3 linked regions of the Stegostoma tigrinum genome follow. The protein of the gene in region 3 interacts with the protein of the main gene of each other region in a pairwise test. Links are inferred from orthologs where the notes say so. Each region holds a gene or a part of one and is shown on either strand. Other genes may lie near its edges.

Region 1 (7,861 bases), on a different chromosome or scaffold from region 3:
GAGTTCGCTTCCCTGTCCAAGTCCTGAAGAAGGATTTAAACCTGAAATATTGACTTTCTTGCTCCTCTGATGCTGCCTGACCTGCTGTGTTCCTCCAGCTCCACACAGATACCACGGTGATGCAAATCTTGAGTTGGAGCCTCTGAGCCCTTAACACGTGTTTCAGAATTTGTTGCTTCTCAAGCTAAGTTGTTCCATCACAATGTGCAAAATTGCCCAGGTATGTCTTGTGTACAAAAAGGAGGACAAAACTAACCCAATTACCCTCAATCAGTCTACTCTTGATCATCAGTAAAATGTTGAAAGGTGTCATCAACAATGCTATCCAGCAGCGTCTGTTCAGCAGTAACCTGCTCACTGATGATTTGGAATCCACCAGGGCCAGCCTTCATTCAAACATAGCCAGAGGTGAGGTGGGAGTGACATACCATGACATCAAGGCTGCATTTGACCCAGTGTGATATCATGGAGCTGTAGCAAAAGTGAAATTAATTGGTATCAGGGGTAATCTCTCGACTGGTTGGACTCATTCCTGGCATATAGGAAGATTTTTGTGGTCATTGGAACTCAGTCACCTAATCTCCAGGGCGTCGCTGCAGGACTTCCTTAGGCTAGTATCCTAGGCCCAATCATCTCCCGCTGCTTCATCATGACCTTCACTCCCTCATAAGGTCAGAAGTAGGGATGCATGCCACTAATTGCACAATGTTCAGCACCATTCACGATTCCTCAGACAATGAAATGGTCCATGTTCAAACGCAACAAGACCTGGATAATATCCAGGCTTGGGCAGACAAGTGGCAAGAAAAACTTATGCCAGGCAATAACCATCTCCAATAAGAGTTGATAAAATCACCACCCTTGACCTACAATTGTGTTACCATCATTTAAACACCCCCTGTCAACATCTTGGGATTACCATTGACCAGAAACTCAAGTGGACTTGCCACATAAACACAATGGCCACCCCAGCAGGTCCAAAGTTAGGAATGCTGTAGTGAGTAACTGACTTCCTGACTCCGCACAGCCTGTCTACTATTTACAAGACACAAGTCAGGAGTGCAATGGGATACACCCCACTGGCCTGGATGAGTGCAGCTCTAACAACACCGAAGAAGCTTCATACCTTCCAGGACAAAGCAGATAGGTTGACTGGCTCCACATCCACAAGTATCCACTCATTCCACACTGACGCTTAGTAGCAGCAGTGCGTATTATCTACAAGATGCACTGCAGAAATCTATCAATGATCCTTAGACTGCACTTTCCAAGCCCATGACGATTTGCATCTCAAAGGGCAGAAGAGACGTGGGAAAGTCACCATCTGCAACTTCCCCTCCGAGCCGCTCACCATCCATTTTGGCAAATATATCATGGTTACTTCACTGTTATTGGGGCAAAAATCGTGGAATTCCCTCCCTAAGGGTATTGTGACTCAAACTACAGCACATGGACGACAGCAGTTCAAAAAGGCATCTTACCTCCACCTTCTCAAGCACATATAGGAATGGGCAGTAAATGTAGTGTTCCTCCAGCTCTACACTGTTATCTCTGACACCAGCAGCTGCAGTTCTTACTATCTCTGGGCAATAAATGCTGGCCAGCCGGCAATGCCTAAATCCCACAAGTGAAAAACACAAAAACAGAAGCATTGAGTCTGTACTGCCAGAAGGGTTTTGAGGTCAGAGTCATATACATGTTTGTAAGACGATGACTTTGTTTCTCTGATAAGAGACTCAGTCAGTTTGATATAACTGTGAAGACACAGGCAATTTTTTAGGATAGTTAACTGGCTGTCTGACACCTTTGGAAGCTTTGCGATGTCAGAAACCCATCATATATATATTCAATTCAGAACATAGGAGTAAATTAAGGTATAAAATGACAGTGTGATTGTAAAAGATTAACAGCCCTGAGGCCGAGAGTTCAATCCTAACAGCACAGTTTCAGTTAATCTATGCAAGTAAATCTGTGAGCTAGCATCAGGTATAATGACAATGAATACTGCACATTATAAAGCCCAATGTTTTTGTGATAAGGGAGCTGTATTCTCAATGTAACTCTAACACCGCAGCATGTGGTTGACTGTCAAGCTTCTGAATAACTGGTCATACTGTGGACCCGCCAGAGTTTCCCACATCCTGAGAACTGGTGGAAAATACTTCGGTTTAGTTCTGAAAATACGATTCATATTTATCTTGAAACATTAACTCCCTCCATAGATGCTGCCATCCTGCTGAATTTCTTCATCTTAAAGATTTCAGGGCATTATTTAGAATTCTTCCATACATTTATCTCTCAAATCAATACCTTAAAACAAATTTTCTGGTCATTATCAGATTTCTCCTTTGGTAAAATGGTCCTGTTTTCTGTGGATAGACCCTTGATGACAAACTGTGTTCGGGCAAACCATATTACCAGTTCACAAAGTAGTCCTCAAATGAATAGTAATGACTAATTGGTTATTAGCTGTAGTCTATGAAGGACAGTAAGAATCTCTCTCTCCATTAGAAAGAGACAATTGGTTAAGCTTGAGGGACATCATCGTATCATCGAGTTACACAGCACAGAAACAGACCTTTCAGTCCAATTCATCCATGCAAACTGATTTAGTCCTATATGTCAGCATTTGGCACATATCCCTCTAAATGCTTCTACTCCTACAATAAGAGAGTCATAGCGTGGTACGGTATGGAAAACAGACCCTTTGGTCCAATCAGTTCATGCCTATCATGTTTCCAAGCTAAACTAATTCTACCTACCTGCACTTGAACCATATCCCTCTAACCCTTCCTATTCATGTACCCATCCGGTGGCCTTTTAAATGTTGTAATCGTACCCACTTCTACCACTTCCTCTGGCAGCTCATTCCATACTCTTGTGAAAATCTTGTCCCTTAGTTACCTTTCAAATCTTTCCCCTTTTACCTGAAACCTATTGCCCTCTAGTTTTGGACACCCCTACCCTGGGAGAAAGACCTTGGCTATTCAGCCTACTCATGCCTCTCTTGATTTTATAAACCTCTGTAAGATCATCCTTCAGCCTCCAACACTCCAGGGAAAACTTCATATCATGTTGAAATTCAGGCAAATGAAACTCCACGAATACCACAGCTGGTACAGATCCATGCTGTTGGTGTCTTTCTGTACCACATCCTAGCCATCTAACCAACTGAATTAACTGACTTTAACCATGAAAAAATGCATGCCTGAACTATTAATGGTTATTCAGGTTCAGATCAGGACCCATCTTTCACCAAGCTCACTATAGTCAGTCAATGGGTGGAGCTTGGCAGATTCAATTTAGTAGTACTGTAGAAATCACTGAACCAGTAGACATTATGTACCATAATAATAAATAATATAAAAAGAAAGGGTGCAGGAAAAAAATATCTCAGTCTAGCAGCACTGAGCAGAAAAAGATGAAGGCTGAGGTTATGACCTAAAGTTCAACTTATTTCAAAATCTTAGTTTGTTTCTTCATCCCTTCAGATGGTTTTACGCACTTGTTTGTCCTTACCTTATAAAGAACCTCTGTTTCTTCACTATGTGCGTTACCAGCTGTAGCTCATCTTTATGGTCATCCTGGGAATAGGATCAAAACCAGTCAGTAATCTCAAATGGGTATGTATTGGACTGTACCATCCTCTCTCACCTTTTTGGTTTGGAGGAAATGGTCAAATTGGTCAGTGGAAGATTAATCATGCGTTAAAAAACATACCTTTTCTCTGTAGGCAGGCCCATGAAATTGAGGATGTTTTGCTTCCATTTTGTTTCAATGGATATTGCAGACATTTTTTTACTTTTGCGTGGGTGCGGACATCAGGGGCAAGGTCAGCATTTGCTTCCCATCCCTAACTGCCCTCAAATTGAATGGCTTCCCAGATCATTTCAGAGAGAAAGTAAGATTCAATTTCATTGCTGTGCATCTGGAGTCACATGTAAGTCAGGCCAGTTAAGGATAGCAGATTTCCCTCCCTGAAGCACATTAATGAACAAGATGGGTTTTTTCTGTAATTGCTGATGGTCTCACAGTCATTGTTACTAATACTACCTTTCAATTCCAGATTTTGTGAACTGAATCTACATTCTGCCCATGCTATTAGAATCATCCCAACAGAGAATCATTCTCTTTATTTACTAGTCTCCCCTAGCACTAAGCCACCATCTTCTCCCAAAGCCTCTTCCACATGTGGAGTAAGTAGTGCTTGAGCGAGTTGCTGGGTGGATGGTTTTATAATTATGTGGCTAAGCTACGTCCCCAGATGAACACTGGCTGTATCTTATAATTGTGATTGTCCACTGGAACCATTGGTTTACTTTGGTGCATTCACTGCCACTAATCTTTCTTTGTTGGATTAGTCCCAGATTTTAAAAAACAAGTGGGAGAGGATGACCACTCAAGCTTTTCTGTAGAAGAAGGCTATAGTCTTGAAATAAAGATTAAAGATTTATTACATAATACTGACTGGGTGGTTATATTACATGTAATATGTTTTTAGGGAGGTAATGGTAATATCACTGGACTAGCAATCTTTCAGAATAAATTTTAAAAAAATCATTTGAGTGATTGCGAAGGTTCTTTGGGATTTCCAGAAGTGGTGAAGGACGCCACTGTGTCAACAGATAATAATTTACCTGCATTCTTTGCAGTCGGGGTGTCCCTTTAAGGGCAATGTGGTCAGGTGACCGGGCGTTCAGGGTCGGAGACTGTGAGTCAGCGCTCCGTCTCGCCGGCTGCGTGACGTCGGCGTTTCCTGAGTGGGCGGCGGTGACGTCGATGCTTTCTGTGCGGCGGTGCTCCGCGGCGAAGCGAGGGAGACAGACAGACAGATAGACGGGGCACGACAGTCTGTCTGTCTTTGTCACACAGCCGGTCCCCGGGGAGGTGAGGATTGTCAAAGACGCCTTGAGGAGCACTGCGAGTAACAAAAGCGGGAGAATTGTGCGGGTGTGGGAAGAGGCGGAAGGAAGGAAGGCCTCTGGGAAGAGGAGGGGGTTCCGAGTATTTGACAGGTCCCCGGGACAGCGAAGCGGAGCGCTCGGCCTGTCAGCAAGCACCAACCCATCCGGCACTGGGACTGTGTAATCATTGACATACAGTGGTTATATAATTATACATACAACTCAGAGATACATGTGAGGGGATATTAAATTGAAAGCGGCCTGGAGTCTGGAACTGTCAGTCCTCAGTCGCCAGGACTCCCTCTCTCCTTTTTAACCCCCCTCCCCCACTTCATTTACATTTCCAACCTGCTTTTGGATTAGAGAAGCCGCCGTCGATCTCAAGAAACAGGCTGTCCTCCCCCCGCCCCCACTCCCTGGGGGAGGCAAGATTTCAGTCAGCAGGCCCTCCCTCCACGTTGCTGCAAAGGAGCCGAAGTAGGGTGGGAGAGAGAATCGTCGTTTCATCGAGGAGAGGGTAGCGACGCCTCCCGATTTTTATTTCTCTCGTTCACTCTCCCAAAGTAAGGGGCTTCATGCCAGTCTTCAGTGAGTCGCACCAGGCGTGCCTTGGATCGACAATGTGTTAAATTCAGTCGCGAGAAAGAAAAGAAATTTAAATTAGGAAGACAGAAGTACGGACGATTTGCCGTGTCTTTGGCACATCCCACGTGAAATAGTGGTTTGGATCCAAGTGTTTTTCTGGTTAGAAGGTGTATTTCCTCCCATCTGGCGAATGACCAAATCAGTGCTGAGAAATTTCAAACGAGTAGAAGGTTGGTTCGCCACCTGCTGAGCAGATCGTGTTTGTGTGTGTGGTTTTCGTTACTCGTCTGAGTATTGGCAGCGGAATCGGACTGTACAACCCGGCACTGTGGTGGGATTAATTTGGCTGGGATGTGCAAATGTGGAATCAGTCGAAATTCGGATTTTGCCTTGATTAGCTTGGTGATATAGAGACTTAAGACATTGTTCACAACATTCTAATTTCTACCAATGATATGTGACCAGAATGTATTGAAATGCACGACGACCATCGTGTGCTAATTTTGTAGGCGACAGTCATTTAATCTAAAGTTGTGCCTGGATATATAAATTGGGGGAAAAAAAACTGGTACGTTTCCCAGTAGCCATGACAAGTGTACAAGGAGCTATGAGAGTGATGGATGGAGTTAACTTGGGTGAAGTGATTGTAAAAAAGGAGCCAGTATATGACGGAGTGGGAGAACGAAGCAACGTGGAAAAGGAGTTTGATGGTAGAATTACACATATGCTCAGAGCCCCAGGAGTAAAGCTAGAAAGTGGACAGGGCCTTGGAGTGGAGGAGACAGCGCACACAGATGTGTGTGTGCCCAAAGCTTGCCTGTTGTCAGGAGTTCGTCCATTGGATCTTAACCCTGCTCTCAAACACACATTGGCTCAGTTTCACTTGAGCAGTCAGAGCTCTCTGGGTGGGCCAGCAGCATTTTCGGCACGTTGTACTCAAGAGTGTATGTCGCCAGGGGGGCTAATGCCCATGACATCACCCCCTGTGCTGCCAGGACCATTGCTTATACCCTCAGACAGTTCAACTGAGCTCACGCATACTTTATTGGAAGGAGAAACTATCTCCTGCTTCATGGTTGGTGGGGAGAAGAGGCTGTGTTTGCCACAGGTCCTAAATTCAGTTCTGCGAGATTTCTCTCTTCAACAGATCAACACTGTCTGTGATGAGCTGTATATTTATTGCTCAAGATGTACGGCAGAACAGCTACAAATTCTCAAAGTCCTAGGCATCTTGCCTTTCAATGCTCCCTCTTGCGGACTTATAACACAGACTGATGCACAGAGGTTATGTAATGCCTTGGTTCATGCAGGCATACTGCCTCCAGATGCCAACAAACTCCCTGGCAAAACATGCCTTGCCCAGTTACAGAGCACTGGTTCCAGTTTTGAAGTAGAACATTGGTGTCTTGGGAAATGTCAAGGTCTGTTCGTGCCGCAGTTATACAGTCACCCTGATGCTACCTGCATTCAGTGTCTGGACTGCCACATGATGTTTTCACCCCAGAAGTTTGTCCTGCATTCGCACAGGTCTCCAGACAAGAGAACCTGCCACTGGGGCTTTGATTCAGCTAAATGGCGCTGCTATGTGCAACTGAGCCGTAAATATGCAGAAACATCTGAAGAAAAGTTCTTACAGCAATGTTTGGAAGAAATGAAAGACAGATTCAACCTCAATAACCAGCGAAAAAGACTGCTTCCAAAGGTAAGTTCCATTTTTCACTTGAAGGAGAATTTTGCTGATGATATGTTTCTGTGAACAAATATTTCCTGGTCAATACTTACCTCTCGACCAACCTCAGTGAAAACAAATGATCTGGCATGAATTTAATTCCTGTATGTGGTAGATACCCTGCATTTTAATACTGGATACTACGTTGGCTGTTGAATACTGAGATGCCTAAACAGTTGAGATAGTTAATGTGAGACCTTTCTTTTTTCCAAGATATCTTAAATCTGTGTTTTGTATGGGGTGAGTGGTGCATTGGCTTAAATGTAGTGATTTTGACATCTGAGAAATCATTCAAATTCAACCGGACTGATGGGACCAAAAAAAATGTCATCTCTACTCGTTGCCTAAATGGTTGCAAGTGAAAAAAGTCTCACTCCAGTTCCAGATGAGCCTCCAATACAAAACTGGCCATAATTTTACATTGACTGACAATCTTCCTAAGACCACAGCTTCTGGTTTAGAAAATAGAAAACACAGTATCACTCTGGTGTAATTGTAAGTACCCTGTTGTCTTTGGGATTTAGACATAATAGGAGTATATAGTGTGACATGAAAGAATAATTCTAATGATGCGAGGAATCTGAAACAAAAACAGTGTTGGAAATATTCAGTGGGCTAGGCAGCATCTAAAGGGACAGCAATG
Region 2 (8,069 bases), on a different chromosome or scaffold from region 3:
CAGCACTGACCCTCCGACAGTGCAGCACTCCCTCAGCACTGACCCTCCGACAGTGCAGCGCTCGCTCAGCACTGACCCTCCGACAGTGTCTCCTCCCACAGCACTGACCCTCTGACAGTGCGGTGCTCCCTCAGCACTGACCCTCCGACAGTACCCACTCGCTCAGCATTGACACTCCGACAGTGCCCAATCCCTCAGCACCGACCCTCCGACAGTGCCCACTCCCTCAGCACCAACCCTCCGACAGTGCCTGCCCCCTCAACACCGACCCTCTGACAGTGTGGCGCTCCCTCAGCACTGACCCTCTGACAGTGCCCACTCCCTCAGCACTGACCCTCCAATAGTGCCCACTCCCTCAGCACTGACCCTCTGACAGTGCCTGCTCCCTCAGCAGTGACCCTCCGTCAGTGCCCACTCCCTCAACAGTGACCCTCCGACAGTGCAGCGCTCTGTGTTTAGGTGAAGACTCATTTTGCATATTCGAAAGCCATCACGTTAAGTGCACCTGAGAATTGTTGGAGAAATTCCAATACTGGATTTAATAACCTGATGAGCAATGTTGCTTCTTGAAAGGAAGAGATTTCTGGGTTTTATTTTAAAGCAGGAAATGCCAATTTTACATTGCTGGGCTCCACATAGCCCCAGCTGTCCTGTGGTGCTGAATATCATCCCATGGTGCAGGGCAGCAGCTAGGATTCAGTTTCACTTTGTTCGGGAGATTGCTGACCTATTTCAGGTTGTCATGGAATTAAAGAAGCTGTTCCACTGGCTGCTGAAATACAAGACAATTTCCACAAATGTAAAACGTTTCCATTCTTGTTCTGATTTGTAATCATTGTATAGCCCCCTTTCTTTGAAATCTCCTTCACCCAGGAAACCTAGGATCGTCTAACTCCAGTCCAATTTTCACCCTAAGTATTAATCACTTTCCTCTTAGCACCTGCCCCTTCAGCTTCCCAGGCCTATCTTTCAGACAACAGCCTTACAGTGTCGTTCATTGTGACTGTCCAACTTTGACTGTCTTTGGTTACAGCCACCATCTTGGTATGACTCACGAATCTCTTTGCTTGTTCTGATTTCACAGCTCCCAGCCTGTTGCCTCTATAGCTTCCTTCTTGCTCGATGCTCCTGCTTCTGTAACACAATCCACCTCTCGATATCATGGCCCACCTTAAAACCCCTGTTCATCTTACTTTAATGCCATCTTCTGCCACCTGTTGAGCAGTTTGTTCTCTGAATGTGTTTGGTAGCATTTAAATGCAAGTTGTTGTTGTAAAGCTAGCACTGACTTCTGGTTGAGCATTTGACCTGCACTGTTCGATCGGGCTAACTATGACCTTGAGAACCAACAAAGTGCTTCATGGGAATATTTTTGAAGAAAACTCATTAACTGTAACAGGACTTCAGGCAAACAGGTGAAGTGCAACAATATCATGAATATGTACACAGTTAAAGCTCTCAGGTGAGAGAGACAGAGATGCCATGGGGGCTTTGAAACAGTTGAGCTATGAGATCTGAAAGAACTCAAGTGGCTGTGATTCAATATCAGACTCAATTGTTGGATTTAGTGTTTGCCCTTGCCAGGGAAAAGCACAACCCTCACTGGGCTATGGGCTCCCCCTCCCCTCCTGAAAGTGCTGACCCTCACTGGGTTACCAAGTCCCTCACAAGAGTGACCATCGCACAGTCCCTGTGGAGACCAAGTCCTGCCTTCACAAGGAGAACGACCTCCAGCGTATTGCGTGGCACTATCACTGTGCTAAATGGGACAGACTTCACACAGATGTAGCAGCTCATTCTGGGCATCCATGAGGCACCGTGGGCCATCAACAGCAGCTGAACTGTACTCCAGCACAATCTGTAACCTCATGGCCTGGCACATTCCCTACTCAACCATTACCATCAACTCTGGTTCAATGGAGAGTGCAGGAGGGCATGCCAGCAGCAGCACCAGGCTTACTTGAAGATGAGGCATCAATCTGGTGAAGCCAACAAACAAGGATTACTTGCACACCAAACAGTGAAAGCAGCAAGTGATAGACAGGGCTAATCAATCCCACAACTGATGGATCAGATCTAAGCTCTGCAGTCCTGCCACATCCGGTGGCGAGTAGTAGAGGATGATTAAACAACTCACTGAAGGAGGGGGCTCCACAAACATCCCCATCCTCAATGATGGAAGAGCCCAGCGCATCAGTGCAAAAGATAAAGCTGAAGCATTCGCAGCAATCTTCAGCCAGAAGTGCCGAGTGGATGATCCATCTTAGCCTCCTCCAGTGGTCCCCAGCTTCACAGATACCAGTCTTCAGCCAATTCCATTCACTCCACGTGATGTCAAGAAACAGTTGGAGACACTGGATACTGCAAAGGCTACGGGCCCTGACAACGTCTCAGCAATAGTACTGAAGACTTGTGCTCCAGAACTTGCCACTCCCCTAGCCAAGCTGTTCCAGTATAGTTACAACACTGGGATCTACTCGACAATGTGGAAAATTGGCGATGTATGTCCTGGAGATAAAAAGCAGGACAAATCCAACCCGGCCAATTACCAATTACTGTCATCAGAGGCAAAAATGGAAGTTGCCGGATAGGCTCAGCAGGTCTGACATCATCTGTGGAGAAAAAATCAGAGTTCCACCAGGGCCACTCAGCTCCTGACCCCATTACAGCCTTGGTTCAAACATGGACAGAACAGCTGCATTCCAGAGTGAGGTGAGAGTGACAACCCTTGATATCAAGGCTGTATTTGACCAAGTGCGGCATCAAGGGGCCGTAGCAAAACCAGAATCAATGTCTATCAGGGGGCAAATGCTCCAGTAGTTGGGGTCATACCTGACACAGAGGAAGATGGTCGTGATTGTTGGAGGTCAGTCATCTCAGCCCCAGGACATCTCTGCCGGAGTTCCTCGGCCACACAAATGCCCCAGGACATCTCTGCCGGAGTTCCTCGGCCACACAAATGCCCCAGGACATCTCTGCCGGAGTTCCTCGGCCACACAAATGCCCCAGGACATCTCTGCCGGAGTTCCTCGGCCACACAAATGCCCCAGGACATCTCTGCCGGAGTTCCTCGGCCACACAAATGCCCCAGAACATCTCTGCCGGAGCTCCTCGGCCACACAAATGCCCCAGGACATCTCTGCCGGAGTTCCTCGGCCACACAAATGCCCCAGGACATCTCTGCCGGAGTTCCTCGGCCACACAAATGCCCCAGGACATCTCTGCCGGAGTTCCTCGGCCACACAAATGCCCCAGGACATCTCTGCCGGAGTTCCTCGGCCACACAAATGCCCCAGGACATCTCTGCCGGAGTTCCTCGGCCACACAAATGCCCCAGGACATCTCTGCCGGAGTTCCTCGGCCACACAAATGCCCCAGGACATCTCTGCTGGAGTTCCTCGGCCACACAAATGCCAAGCTATAACCATCCCCAGCAGGCAACAGCCTAATCACTGGCCCTTACCGTTCAATATTGTTACCATTACTGAGTTTTACACTATCAACATCCCAGGGGTTACCACTAACCAGAAATTCTACTTCCACATAAACACAAGACCAGGTCAGAAGCTGGGAATACTGCAGTGAGTAACTCATCTCCTGCCTCCTCAAAGCCTATCCACCATCTACAAGGCACAAGTCAGGAGTGGGATGGAATACTCCCCACTTGCCTGGATGGGTGCAGCTTCAACAACACTCAAGAAGCTTGACACGTTCCAGGACAAAACAACACACTTGATTGGCACCACATCCACAAGCATCCACTCCCTCCTCCACCAATGTTCAGTCGCAGCAGTGTGTACTTTTTACAAGATGCTCTTCAGAAATTCATCAGAGATTCTTAGACATTATCTTCCAAACTCACAACCACTTCCATTTAGAATGTCAAGGGCAGCCACTACATGGAACACCATCATCTGCAAGTTCCCCTTCAAACCACTCACCATCCTGCCTTGGGAAAATATGTCGCTGTTCCTTCACTGACACCTGATCAAAATGCTGGAATTCCCTCCCGAAGCACTTTGTGGGTGCACCTACTCCAAATGGATGGCAGTGGTTCAAGGAGGCAGCACATGACCACCTTCTTGAGGGCAACTGGGCAATAAATGCTGGCCTGGCCAGTGAAGCCAATGTCCCACAAATAAATAACAACAAATTTTGAACATGCCCAGCAACTTTTCACTGTCTACCCTCAAACCTCTTTGTTCAAGTCTGTGTGTTTCTGTGTGTGCGCGCATGTGTGTCTGTGTCTTTATGTCTGAGTTTCTGTATCTATGTGTTTGTGTGTGTGTGTGCGTGTGTGTGTGTGTGTGTGTGTGTGTGTGTGTGTGTGTGTGTGTTTATCTATGTGACGCCCTGTCTTTGTGCCTGTGTGTGTGGGTGTGTGTGTGAGTGACACCCTGTCTTTGTGCCTGTGTGTGTGTGTGTGTGTGTGTGTGTGTGTGACGTCCTGTCTTTGTGCCTGTGTGTGTGTGTGTGTGTGTGTGTGTGAGTGACGCCCTGTCTTTGTGCCTGTGTGTGTGTGTGTGTGTGTGTGTGTGTGTGTGTGTGTGTGTGTGTGTGTTTATCTATGTGACGCCCTGTGTGTGTGGGTGTGTGTGTGAGTGACGCCCTGTCTTTGTGCCTGTGTGTGTGTGTTTATCTATGTGACGCCCTGTCTTTGTGCCTGTGTGTGACGCCCTGACTTTGTGCCTGTGTTTCTGTATCTATGTGAAACCCTGTGTGTGTGTGTCTGTCTGTCTTTTTCTCTGTTTCTGTATGAGTTTCTCTGTCTTTGCTTCTGTGTGTTTCTTTGTATCAGTCTGTCACTGTCTCTGTGTCAGTGTGTTTTTGTCAATGCCCTATTAGGAGCAAGCCTAGACTTGCTTGTGAACTCAAGCTTCCCTCTTCCTGCCAGATCTCTGTGTTGGGTTGTTTCGCAGTGTGGTGTGGGATAGCTGTAATCAAAGCAGTTGCCATAGTGAGGAAAGGAAGCTGCTCAATGATGTGGGGAATACCAAGCAAATGGCCTGAAATTGAGACAAGAATAGTGAAAAATGGAAGTAGGTTTTTCATTCTATTTGTTTTCCTACAGGTACCCTCGCCTCTTGATGTGCTTACACTCATCTGCCACATATTTCTGCAGAGTTCTGTCTTAGAAGATCTGTTTCTTGTATTGCCTTGTATTGCCTTGCATTGCCTTGTATTGCCTTGCATTGCCTTGTTGAATTTGTTTTGCACACATTGTGAAGCTGTCAATGCCGCATGGAATAGATTTAAACACTCGTAGCACAGGGACAGCATGGGGTTAGATACACAGTAAACATCCCTACACACTGTCCTCATTAAACAGGGATAACACAGGATTAGATACGGAGTAAAGCTTCCTCTACACTGTCCCCGTTAAACACTCCCAGAACAGGGACAGCATGGTATTAGATGCAGAGTAAAGCTTCCTCTACTCTGTCCCAACACAAGTTGAAACCACCTGATGGTTCCAGTGTGATATTCTCTTTCCTGGACCACCCATTCTTTTACAGAGGTTTTGAGCCATCTTCCTATTCTAGAAGCAGCGCAGGAGACAATGTGCTTGTGGCCTGAATCCATATTGAATCACCATCAAGTGGCGCTGTGGTGTTCTGTGTTTGAAGATGAAGGAAGGTGTTGGAGTAAATTAAATACATTCCCACAACAAAATCTGAATCTTCCTCCTCAGCAAATTTTTCAAAGTTGGTGAATCGCCTCACCTTCAATGGTTTTTCCCTCTCCTGCACAATCCTGAGTGAGGGCTGATGCTGATGTAGAGCAGGCAGGGTGAGTGTACAATCTACAGGCAGGCTACAGTACAGGGACAGGTTTTGTAAATTTGGAGTTTGGGAGACTGTGTCAATACATTAATCTAACACGAGGTGGCAGAATCTGCCTGAGAGTCTCTCACACAGGGAGCTACTGGAGAACAGCCTGTAAACATGTCCCATTTGGTAATCACTTGGAAATCCGTTCTGTAATCTCCACATTCTTACCCGTAAACATTTTTGGTGAACAGACCTGTCCACCATATCCTTCCTCTAGAGCAGAATGACAACTTTGTAAACTTTTTACTGGCCCCTGTACTTGAGTACAATGACAATAAAACTTAATTCTAATTCTTCCCTTACTCCTCTTCAGGCTCAAGTAAAGCCATTATCCAATTGAATGCTGAAAACATTCTACTGAATGGAGCACATCCATCAGGCCTGTATTTCAAAAGCAGCTCCTCCTCCCCGCCACCACCCCCACCCGCCCCCCCCCCCCACCTTGGAGAGTCAGTGTTGAGGGATTCACCCCCTCCATCCCGTGGAGGGTCAGCACTGAGGGATCCCCTCCCACCCCCCTTGGAGGGTCAGCAGTCAGGGATCCCCTCTCCCCTCCTTGGAGGGTCAGCACTGAGGGATCCCCTATCCCATCGGAAGGTCAGTCCTGAGGGATCCCCTCCCCCCCCCCCGGAGGGTCAGCGCTGAGTGATCCCCTCCCCCCTCGGATGGTCAGTGCTGAGGGATCCCCTCCCCTCCTTTGTAGGATCAGCACTGAGGGATAACCTCCCCTCCCCTTGGAGGGTTAGTGCTGAGGGATCAGCCCCTCCCCCCTTGGAGGGTCAGCACTGAGGGATCCCCGCCCCTCCCCTCAAAAGGTCAGCGCTGAGGGCTCTCCTCCCTCCTTGGAGGGTCAGCAATGAGGAATCCCCCCCCTCCCTGGAAGGTCAGCGCTGAGTGAGCCCCTCCCCCTTCAGAGGGTCAAAGTTGAGGGATCCCGTCCCCCCCTTGGAGGGTCAGCACTGAGGGATCCCCTCGCACCCCCCCCCGCCCCGGGAAGGTCAGCGCTGAATGATTCCCTCCACCCTCAGAAGGTCAACACCGAGGGATCACCTCCCCCGCCCCCCAGAAGATCTGTGCTGAGGGAACCCCTCCCCTGGAGGGTCAGCACTGAGGGATCCTCTCCCCCCACGTCAGAGGGTTATCGCTGAGGGATGCCCTCCCCCTTGGAAGGTCAGTGCTGAGGGATCCTCTTCCCCCTAACCTTGGAGGGTGCGTGCTGAGGGAGTCCGTCCCTGTCACAGCTCAGTGCTGAGGGAGGTGTTCTCTTTCGGATAAACACCTGCTGGATCCTGCCTGGCAGATATATGTAAAAAGAACCCAAGTCTGTTATTTTGAAGAACAGCTTCAGTGGCTCTAACTATACTCAGCTGGCTGGGTGGTTGGTTTGTGAAGTAGAGTGATGCCCACCGTTTGAGTTCAGCTCCCTCCAAAGAGATCCTTCAGCGCTGACCCTCAACTCCCACCCTGGCTGAGGTTACCACAAAGGAGTCTCCTCTCAACCTCCCCCCTCACATGAGATATCTGACCCTCAAGTTAAACCACCCCCAGTTGTCTCTCTCTAAGGAGAGAGCAGCCCAATGGAAGAACAGACAATGCTGGAGTCAGTGATAACATGGAGCTGGAGGAACACAGCAGGCCAGGCAGCATCAGAGGAGCAAAAGAGTCAATATTTCAAGTCTAGACCCTGATGAAGGCCTGAAGCATCAACTCTCCTGCTCCTCTTGTACTCCCTGACCTAATGTGTTCCTTCAGCTCCACACTGTATCAGCTCTATGGGCTGGTAAGACTGTGGTAACTCCCACTCATTTGTCAATAGTGATGATGTAAATATTTACTTTGATTATTGCGTTATTGTCACACTTTTGAGATTGTGAAAGGTGCTATAGGAATGTACATGTTACTTTGGGTGGAGGCTCGAATGCTGGTCAGGCTAGTTGACCCCAGAAGATTGAAGTGTGAGCGCAAACAAGCATTTCAGTAACAGTTTTGCTGTGTGGAGACAGTGACATTACAGTGTCCGCTGAGGGCCAGTCAGGTCACTGGTCTGATTTTACTGGAAACGAGGCCCAGGCAGAGTGATTAACAGCTTAGGCAAGAAGTTTCTGTTCATAGTTCAGAATTAACAATACATTCAACCTACATATTAGATTTCTGTCCCATTTCCCAGGTTTTAAACTGTGCTGTTTATAAATTGAAGCAGTGAGGGTGGTGTTACGGGTTTGGAATGGGCACATTTAC
Region 3 (7,667 bases):
TAGCAGCATCACTGGGTCTTCACATTCTGACTACAACCTGGTATTTTGGGTAAGTATGAAAAAAAATGCCTTGGTGAGTCATTGCACGCTGAGATTCAGTGATGGGAGACAGGCTTGTTGCGACTCAATAGCCTCTTCTTATTCAGAGATTAGAACCGTTACACTCAATGTCAAAGAACTCCCTCTCTTTGCTGAATTCTCAATTTCCGAGACATTGACAACAACCACTGAACAACAGTATTGCACACTGGGCAAGTGGGCAAGATGTTGGCTTTTAAAAATTCAGGCTAAGAATAAATGTAAGTTGGTGTGTGACCGAACTCAGACCGTAAACCATTAGCAAATAATGAGCAGACAACACAAGACTCAAAGATACAAATTGATTTGTACTTCACCCATTCACTGCATTAACAGGCAGGGACTTTGTTCCTCTCTTGACTTTCCCTGAAACGGTGATTGAAGAATATCTGCAGACTGTAAATAATCCTGAAAACATGCCTTCACATTGACTAACTCCTAATAAAGCAATCCACTTGAATGGAGGACTTTTGAACAACATTTTCAGAGCTCATCCTAAATGGATGACATGATGGGGATATATAGTCCCAAAACAGAACAAATAAAACTGTGTTCCACATGTAATGGGGGTTTAATGTGTTAACAGCTATTTTTGAGAGTGCCATCAGGGTGAAAATTTAAATTCTCCTTCTCACTGAGGAATGTGGCACACGTTACATGAACAAAAATACTTTGACAAAGTATTTCATTGATTGAGAAGCACTTGGGAACATGTTCAGGGCCTAAAACAACAAGACAAAAACCAATTAATTCTTTCACATCTGCTAACTCCACTGCACAGATCTTGCTTCCAATAATAGCTGCCAAGATATAGTTCCATTTCACCAAGAGTCCCTGCACAACATATTTAAATTAATGTTTTAAAAAGCATCTCATGGCCAAGCTTTCTCCTTTCCTATTATCCCCAACTTCTGATTAATAAGATTCCAGTGTAGTGTCAACGCCATTCACACTAACATCCTGGAACCCCCATCTTGATCATTCTGTGGCTGTTCCCACATCACATGGAGTGCAGGAGATCACCACCATTGGCTGAAGGGCTATTTTATTTCTCAAACAGAGGCTGGTGCATGTATGGAATGAGCTGCCAGACGAAGTGGTCGAGGTAAGTGTAAATTGCAACATTTAAAAGACATTTGAACAGGCACATGAGTAGGAAAAGTTCCAAGTGATTGGGCCAAATGAAGGCAAAGGGGGTGCATTCCGTTCAGAATACCTGGTGAATGAGTTAGACCAAAGGGTCTATTTCCAATGTGTTTGACTCTATTATTAGGGAGGGATGATAAATGCTGGCCCAGCCAATGTCACTGCCATACTAAGACCATGAAGACAAGAAAAAAGAAATTATAAGCTTAGCTCAGAGACACGTTTCTCACATGGATGGAGACAGTCAAGTCAAATTTGCTTGGCTCTAACATGACAGAAGCAGTAGAGAGCTATACTATAGAGTTAGCAGTATAAAGCTAGCTGCAGCCACTCAGTGAATAAATAACACGGCTGAGGGGATAAATTGGGTTACAATAGGTCCTCTTCACCAAGCAGTTACTTCTCAAAGGCACAGGACACTGAAGCTCCTGTCTGGCCCCAACTGGTTAAGTTCTTATGCCCTTCATTTTTCCCCTGTGAGCTCTCACCCAGACAAATGTTTGTCGAGATTTGTTCGTTTAATAGGGGCCGCATTGTAAAAAGGTCTTCTCTCAGCAACGCAGCGACATATCAGCATTCACTGTTAAAGCTGATGGCCTAGATCAATGTGCCATTGGTTATATTCACATCAGCCCTCCCTCATGATGCAGGGGCTATTTGGATACAGGAGGCTTTCTTGCTTGTTAGCTTCTGAGTACAACCACCAGCTAATCTTCTTCTGCTCACTACCAGTGACCTGAAATTACCAAGTTATCCTGCAAGGCTTGTGAAATGCTTGTGCCTCTGTGTGCCAAACCCAGTTTCCCCATCTCTCTCCCAGCCACCCTGCCACAACCACGTGATCCTCATCTAAAATTGGTCAGGCTGCCTTTTTGTCATTCATCCAAGTTGTTCCTGAAATCTCTGTGTATGGCAAACCCTAGGAATCAGGCTGCAATCCTTGTCAATCATAGGTGGCCTGTCAGTATGTTGGTCACCCACCCTCAACGTCAGCCATTGGTCTGCTCACTGGGTTCTACAACATCTGCGATGCAAGGAACAGATTTTCCCAGTGGAACACTGAGGCAGGTTTTTAAATTCATTGGTTCAGGAAGGCTGGGACAGTTTGAACCTTCGTCAAGCAGTCTATCCTCATTTCCAATACAAAGACCTCATGTAGCACCTGTGTGGGACACTGGTTTGGCAGGGCACAACAGAAGAAGTTAAAGGCTGAAATATTTGTTAGACGATGCAAGCTTATTGTCTGGGTGGAAATGGGAGGAAATCATTCAGCCTGTCCCACAAACCATTCAGATGTCGTAGTCAGGTTGTCACTGAATCATGGAATCATACAACATGGGAACAGAACCTTCAGTCCAACTTGTCCATTCCAACCAGATTTCCTAAATTAATCTAGTCCCAGGATTTGGCCCATATCTTTTCATCTTCAGACACCTATCCACAAGCTCATTAAATGTTGTCATTGTACCAGCTCCTACCACTTCCTCTGGCAGCTCGTTCCATACATGCACCACCCTCTGTGTGAAAAAGTTGCCCCTTTTTCCCCTCTCACCTTAAACCTATGCTGTCTAGTTTTGGACCCCCCTCCACCCTGGGAAAAAGACCTTGGCTGTTTCCCCCATCCATGCCCCTCATGCTTTTATCAACTTCTACAAGGTCACCCCTCAGCCTCTGACATTCCACAGAAAATAGCCCCAGCCTATTCAGCCTCACCCTATAGCTTGCACTCTCCAACCCTGGCAACATCCTGTTAAACCCTTTCTGAACCCTTTCAATTTTAACATCGTCTTTCCAATTGAAGGAAGACCAGAACTGAGTACAGTATTCCAAAAGTGGCCTCACCGATGTCCTGTACAGCCACAAGGTGATTATCCAACTCCTAGACTCAATAACACTGACCATAATTTGTCATTCAGATCCATCTCCCCTCCAATGCCCACATGTGGTCAGATCGGTTTGGAGGAGCGAGACCATTGCTGGCTTTCCAGGACCACCTATGCAAAGAATTCATTCTTGAATTGCCCATTTCTGACTGTAAAGAGATCTCCCACTATTTTAGCTATCGGAGTAATGACAGTAGTCAATCTGTCTGTCTTTGCAGTGTATGGAATCTCTTTATAGGCTTTCAAACACCTCAGTTGAAATTTTTCCTGAGTCTATGGCACAGCAATCAAGATTCTCCTGCTCTGAAGCCTGGTAATGACCCTCATGGGGGCAAACAAAGTACTACTGGGGGTGCCATTCAGACCAGAGAGAAATACTGCAAAGCATCACCAGCAAGCGATATTCGCAGCTGAAGATAAAAAAGGAAAGGTCCAGATAAATTATTCCCTCAGCCAGGAGAAAGAGGCATGGGGCTGTGCAGCAAAAAGCAGCAAGGTGGGCTCTGGGATGAGGAAGGGTATGTTGGAGCTGTACAGGAGTTTGGTTAAACCACAGCTGGAGTACTGTGCAGCAGCTCCAGTCATTTCACTGTAAGAAGGAATTGATTGCACTGGAGAGGGTGCAGAGGAGATTCACCAGGAACATCCTGGGCTGGAGTGATTCAGCTACCAAGAAACAAAAAATTGGGATCCTTCTATCTGCCTCCCCCTCTCTCCCTATTTATTCCAGAATCCCCTTCCCCTGCCCCATTCCTGAAGAAGGGTCTCAACCCGAAACGCCAGCTTTCCTGCTCCTCTGATGCTGCTTGGCCTACTGTTTTCATCCAGGTGTACACCTTGCTATCTGGGATAGGGTGGGGTTGCTTCTCATTCAGTAAGGAAGCCTGGCTGGGAGGGTTAGGGATGGATCCGAATGAGGTGTACAGAGTACTGAGGTCCGTAGACAGGATAGATAGAGAGAAATGTTTTCCCCTATCGCCGAGGGAGGGGTGACGGGGGTGGGTGTCGATAACAGGAGACACAATTGTGAAGCAAGGGGCCAGGAGGGGATTTGAGGTGAAGATTTCTCGCCCTCCCTAGCTCACTTTAAGGGGCCCTGAAGAAGCGAACGCTTGAAATGCCACAGCAGACAAGGCTTGGGAGGGAGGGTGAAGTGGATGGGGGGGGGGTGGGTTGGGGAGGGGGCAACTGCTGGGAGATAGGATTCCTCCAGCATTCTGGATGTGAGTTTGCTCGCTGAGCTGGAAGGCTCGTTTTCAGACGTTTCGTCACCATTCTAGGTAACATCGTCAGTGAGCCTCCGACGAAGGCTATTCCTCCAGCATGTCAGGCTGTCTGCATGCCTTGGCAAACTGGCGTTGAGTGGCAGTGCTTGAAATATACCCCAACTCGCTACAGTCAGTCCCGCAGCTTTCCAGGCACGGTGGGAGTGGCAGCATATTTTTTTGCTGTCGAGCAGGACGGCGGAGGAATTGGGGGGGAGGGGGAGGGGAGGGTCTCCGGTTCGCTGTGGGCTGGGTCTGCTATAAAAGGGACCGTGCAGAGCGCTCAGAGCACACTCGAGCGAACGAGCCCAGCCATGAGCACCGTCAGCTACGAGTCCTACTTCCACAGGAGGCGCTATGGAGACAGCGCAGCGCCCAGGACCTACGGAGCTGTCCAGCATTTCAGGAGCAACTACGGCGGTAACGTCAAAGCGGTGTACAGCCCGTACTCCAGCCCGGCGTTCACGGCCAGGAAGGCCCACAGCATCTCGTCGGCCCTGGACAACTTCGACCTGAGCCAAGCCAGCGCGGTGAGCAGCGAGTTCAAGGCGGTGAGGACCCAGGAGAAGGCGCAGCTGCAGGAGCTCAACGACCGCTTCGCCAGCTTCATCGAGAAGGTCCACGAACTGGAGCAGCAGAACAAGGTGCTGGAGGCCGAGCTCTCCCTGCTCCGCCAGAAGCACGGCGGGCCGTCCCGCCTCAAGGGCATCTACGAGCAGGAGCTGCGGGAGCTGAGGTTGGCGCTGGACGACGCCAGGCACGAGAGGCAGGCAGCCCAGAGCGAGAGGGACCACTTGGAGGAAAGCGTCAAGAACCTGCAGGCCCGCTACGAGGAGGAGCTGCTCAACCGGGAGGACGCCGAGGGACGCCTGATGGAAGCCAGGAAGGGCTCGGATGAAGCGGCGCTAGCCAGGGCCGAAGTGGACAAAAGGATCGAGAGCCTGATGGATGAGATCGCGTTCCTGAAGAAGATTCACGAGGAGGAGATCGCCGAGCTGCAGGCTCAGGTCCAATACGCCCAGGTGTCCGTGGAGGTGGACGTGGGCAAGCCCGATCTGTCCTCTGCCCTGAGGGAGATCCGGTGCCAGTACGAGAAGGTGGCAGCCAAGAACATGCAGTCCGCCGAAGACTGGTACAAGACCCGGTTCGCCGTGCTGGCCGAGAACGCTTCCAAGGACAACGACGCGACCAGGCAAGCCCGGGACGAGGTGATCGAGTACCGGCGTCAGGTCAAAGCCAAGACCCTGGAGATCGACGGCGTCAGGGGAATGAACGACGCCCTGGAGAGGCAACTGCTGGAACTGGATGAGAAACAGGGCGGAGAGATCAGTGCTTTACAGGTAAGAGAATGGAACCTGGACCAACAGGGTAAAGGCCGATACGGGGCTGGGAGCGGGAAAGAGAGAGAGACACACAGAGGGTCCAGCGGGGAGAGACCGAGGGAGAGATTCTCACACAAACAGCCAGGATCTGTGGCAAGGGGGGGCAGAGAGAGAGAGAGAAAAATGGCGGAGGGAGTGTGTGCGAGTGGAGGGGGGAGAAGAGAGTGTCATTTAGAATCTAGTTCAGTCAAAGAGGACGTGGGCGCTGACCCTGAGATCAAAAAGAGAACAGAGCAGGAAACGACAGAGAGAAACCCAGGGGCTCTCTGACAATCTCTCTCCTCCCACCCATGTCCCCCTCCACAGGACGCCATCAGCCAGCTGGAGAATGAGCTCAGGACCACCAAGAATGAGATGGGCCGCTACCTGAAGGAATACCAGGATCTACTGAACGTGAAGATGGCCCTGGATATTGAGATCGCTGCTTACAGGTAGTTGACGGCGGTCCCCCGGTTATGGGTGGGACTGGTACAGGGACGGGCCGCTGGGAACTTACGCCCCTTTTCCCACGGATGGCAGTGTCCCTTCCTTGATGGGTGGAGTGCCATGCTTCTGCCTGTTTGATTAACCAGCCGGGACGTGGGGGTGGGGGGGTTGGGGACGGCTTGGTGAAGAGGACCGACCATTCGGCCCTTCCATTCTAGACCTCAGCCCCACCCAGAAGCCGGTGACAGAGCCGCTGGGTCCAATGGTACCAGCCCCTCTCCCAGCCCTTTGCCCACACCCCACCCCTCCCCTACTGCAGGGGGCTGCATTGCACCAGTAAGGTGCGCCGCAGGGGGGCGTATCCACACAGGTCTGGCGCAGTCTTTCAAGTAGCCTGAGGGTGTGCCAAGTGTGTTCCAGAGGAGAGCCCCGCAGGCTGAAATACACCATTTCAATCGGGAAGGGTTGGTCTGGGTTGGGGTGCGGGACAGAGGCCGAGGGGGTGAGATGGTTGAACGTGACAGCCTCGTTGTGTCAGGTACGTGTTAGCCTCCACTGTCTCTCACTGTAAGGCCAACATTCCCATCGTAGAGCCCCGCAACGTGGGGTTTCACAGGCGCGGTGCGGGGGTGGGGGGCGGGCGAGGTTGGTGACGATTCTGAAAGGCTTTACTCAGTGCCTTTGCGGGGTAGAACAGTGAACAGCTGAAGCCGTGAGCAGGGTAGGAACAGTCGAGCTAGACACGAGAAGTGGGCAGTTCGAGAAACAAAACGGGCTGAGCGGTTCCTGCGTCGAACGCGCACATTCACTGGTGTAACTCCCGAAAGGAAATGTGCAGTAGATAGCAATATACAGCGACACTTCAAAATAAACTACCTGACCAGGCTGCGGGGAAAGAAAAAGGAACTGCCCCCCCCCCACCCCCTGACTATGTACGGACACAGGCACAGCGCCATGTCATTGTACAAGCCTGCAGCACGATTCTGAAATGCTCTCACCGCGTTGCTGTTCCGCCCTCAGGAAACTGCTGGAAGGAGAGGAAACACGCATTAACTACGCCAATGTGGGCAGCTTGATCGGTAACTACGCCCAGACTGCCACTGCCCCGGTCTACAGCCGCTCGAGTTACTCTCTTCAGACCAGTGCCTACGGACTGTCCAGCAGACCCGTACTGTACAGTTCCTACGGCAGCAGCAGTCAGATAGAGGAGGAGGAGGAGGTGGTGCAGCAGACCCGCGCTTTGGCAGCACAGCTGGAACCCCCTGCTGACAAGGCAGAAGACATGGAAGGTAAGAACTTTCTCTCCAGGCCAGCAGCTCAGCACCGAGCTGCCAACTCAGTCGCTGGCACACCCCAGAGCCAGAAGGGGCGGTTTTGAAGTGGCACTAGAGGGTACTGCTCCCAAATCAGTAAGTGTAAGAGAGTTGAACCATTGTAGGAACGTCCCTTAATTGAGATGTGAAACTCAAGACCCTTCTGGTCTTGCA

Evidence for each region. The genes of interacting proteins can lie anywhere in the genome.
Region 1: the proteins of neflb (region 3) and ski-like protein interact in binary tests that used the Homo sapiens proteins (3 or more experiments, as listed by UniProt). The link is inferred for Stegostoma tigrinum from reciprocal best matches to the Homo sapiens genes NEFL and SKIL.
Region 2: the proteins of neflb (region 3) and ubiquitin carboxyl-terminal hydrolase 2-like interact in binary tests that used the Homo sapiens proteins (3 or more experiments, as listed by UniProt). The two-hybrid records come from large-scale screens. The link is inferred for Stegostoma tigrinum from reciprocal best matches to the Homo sapiens genes NEFL and USP2.

What each region holds. Positions count from the first base shown.
Region 1 is NC_081367.1:61,088,212-61,096,072, forward strand, and holds the start of ski-like protein, read left to right. Parts: upstream 1-4,762; 5' UTR 4,763-6,075; coding exon 6,076-7,191; intron 7,192-7,861. UniProt on the Homo sapiens protein: May have regulatory role in cell division or differentiation in response to extracellular signals.
Region 2 is NC_081385.1:1,061,345-1,069,413, forward strand, and holds the start of ubiquitin carboxyl-terminal hydrolase 2-like, read left to right. Parts: upstream 1-4,970; 5' UTR 4,971-4,978; coding exon 4,979-5,039; intron 5,040-8,069. UniProt on the Homo sapiens protein: Hydrolase that deubiquitinates polyubiquitinated target proteins such as MDM2, MDM4 and CCND1. Isoform 1 and isoform 4 possess both ubiquitin-specific peptidase and isopeptidase activities.
Region 3 is NC_081393.1:5,042,538-5,050,204, forward strand, and holds the start of neflb (neurofilament light chain b), read left to right. Parts: upstream 1-4,664; 5' UTR 4,665-4,686; coding exon 4,687-5,712; intron 5,713-6,060; coding exon 6,061-6,185; intron 6,186-7,200; coding exon 7,201-7,469; intron 7,470-7,667. UniProt on the Homo sapiens protein: Neurofilaments usually contain three intermediate filament proteins: NEFL, NEFM, and NEFH which are involved in the maintenance of neuronal caliber.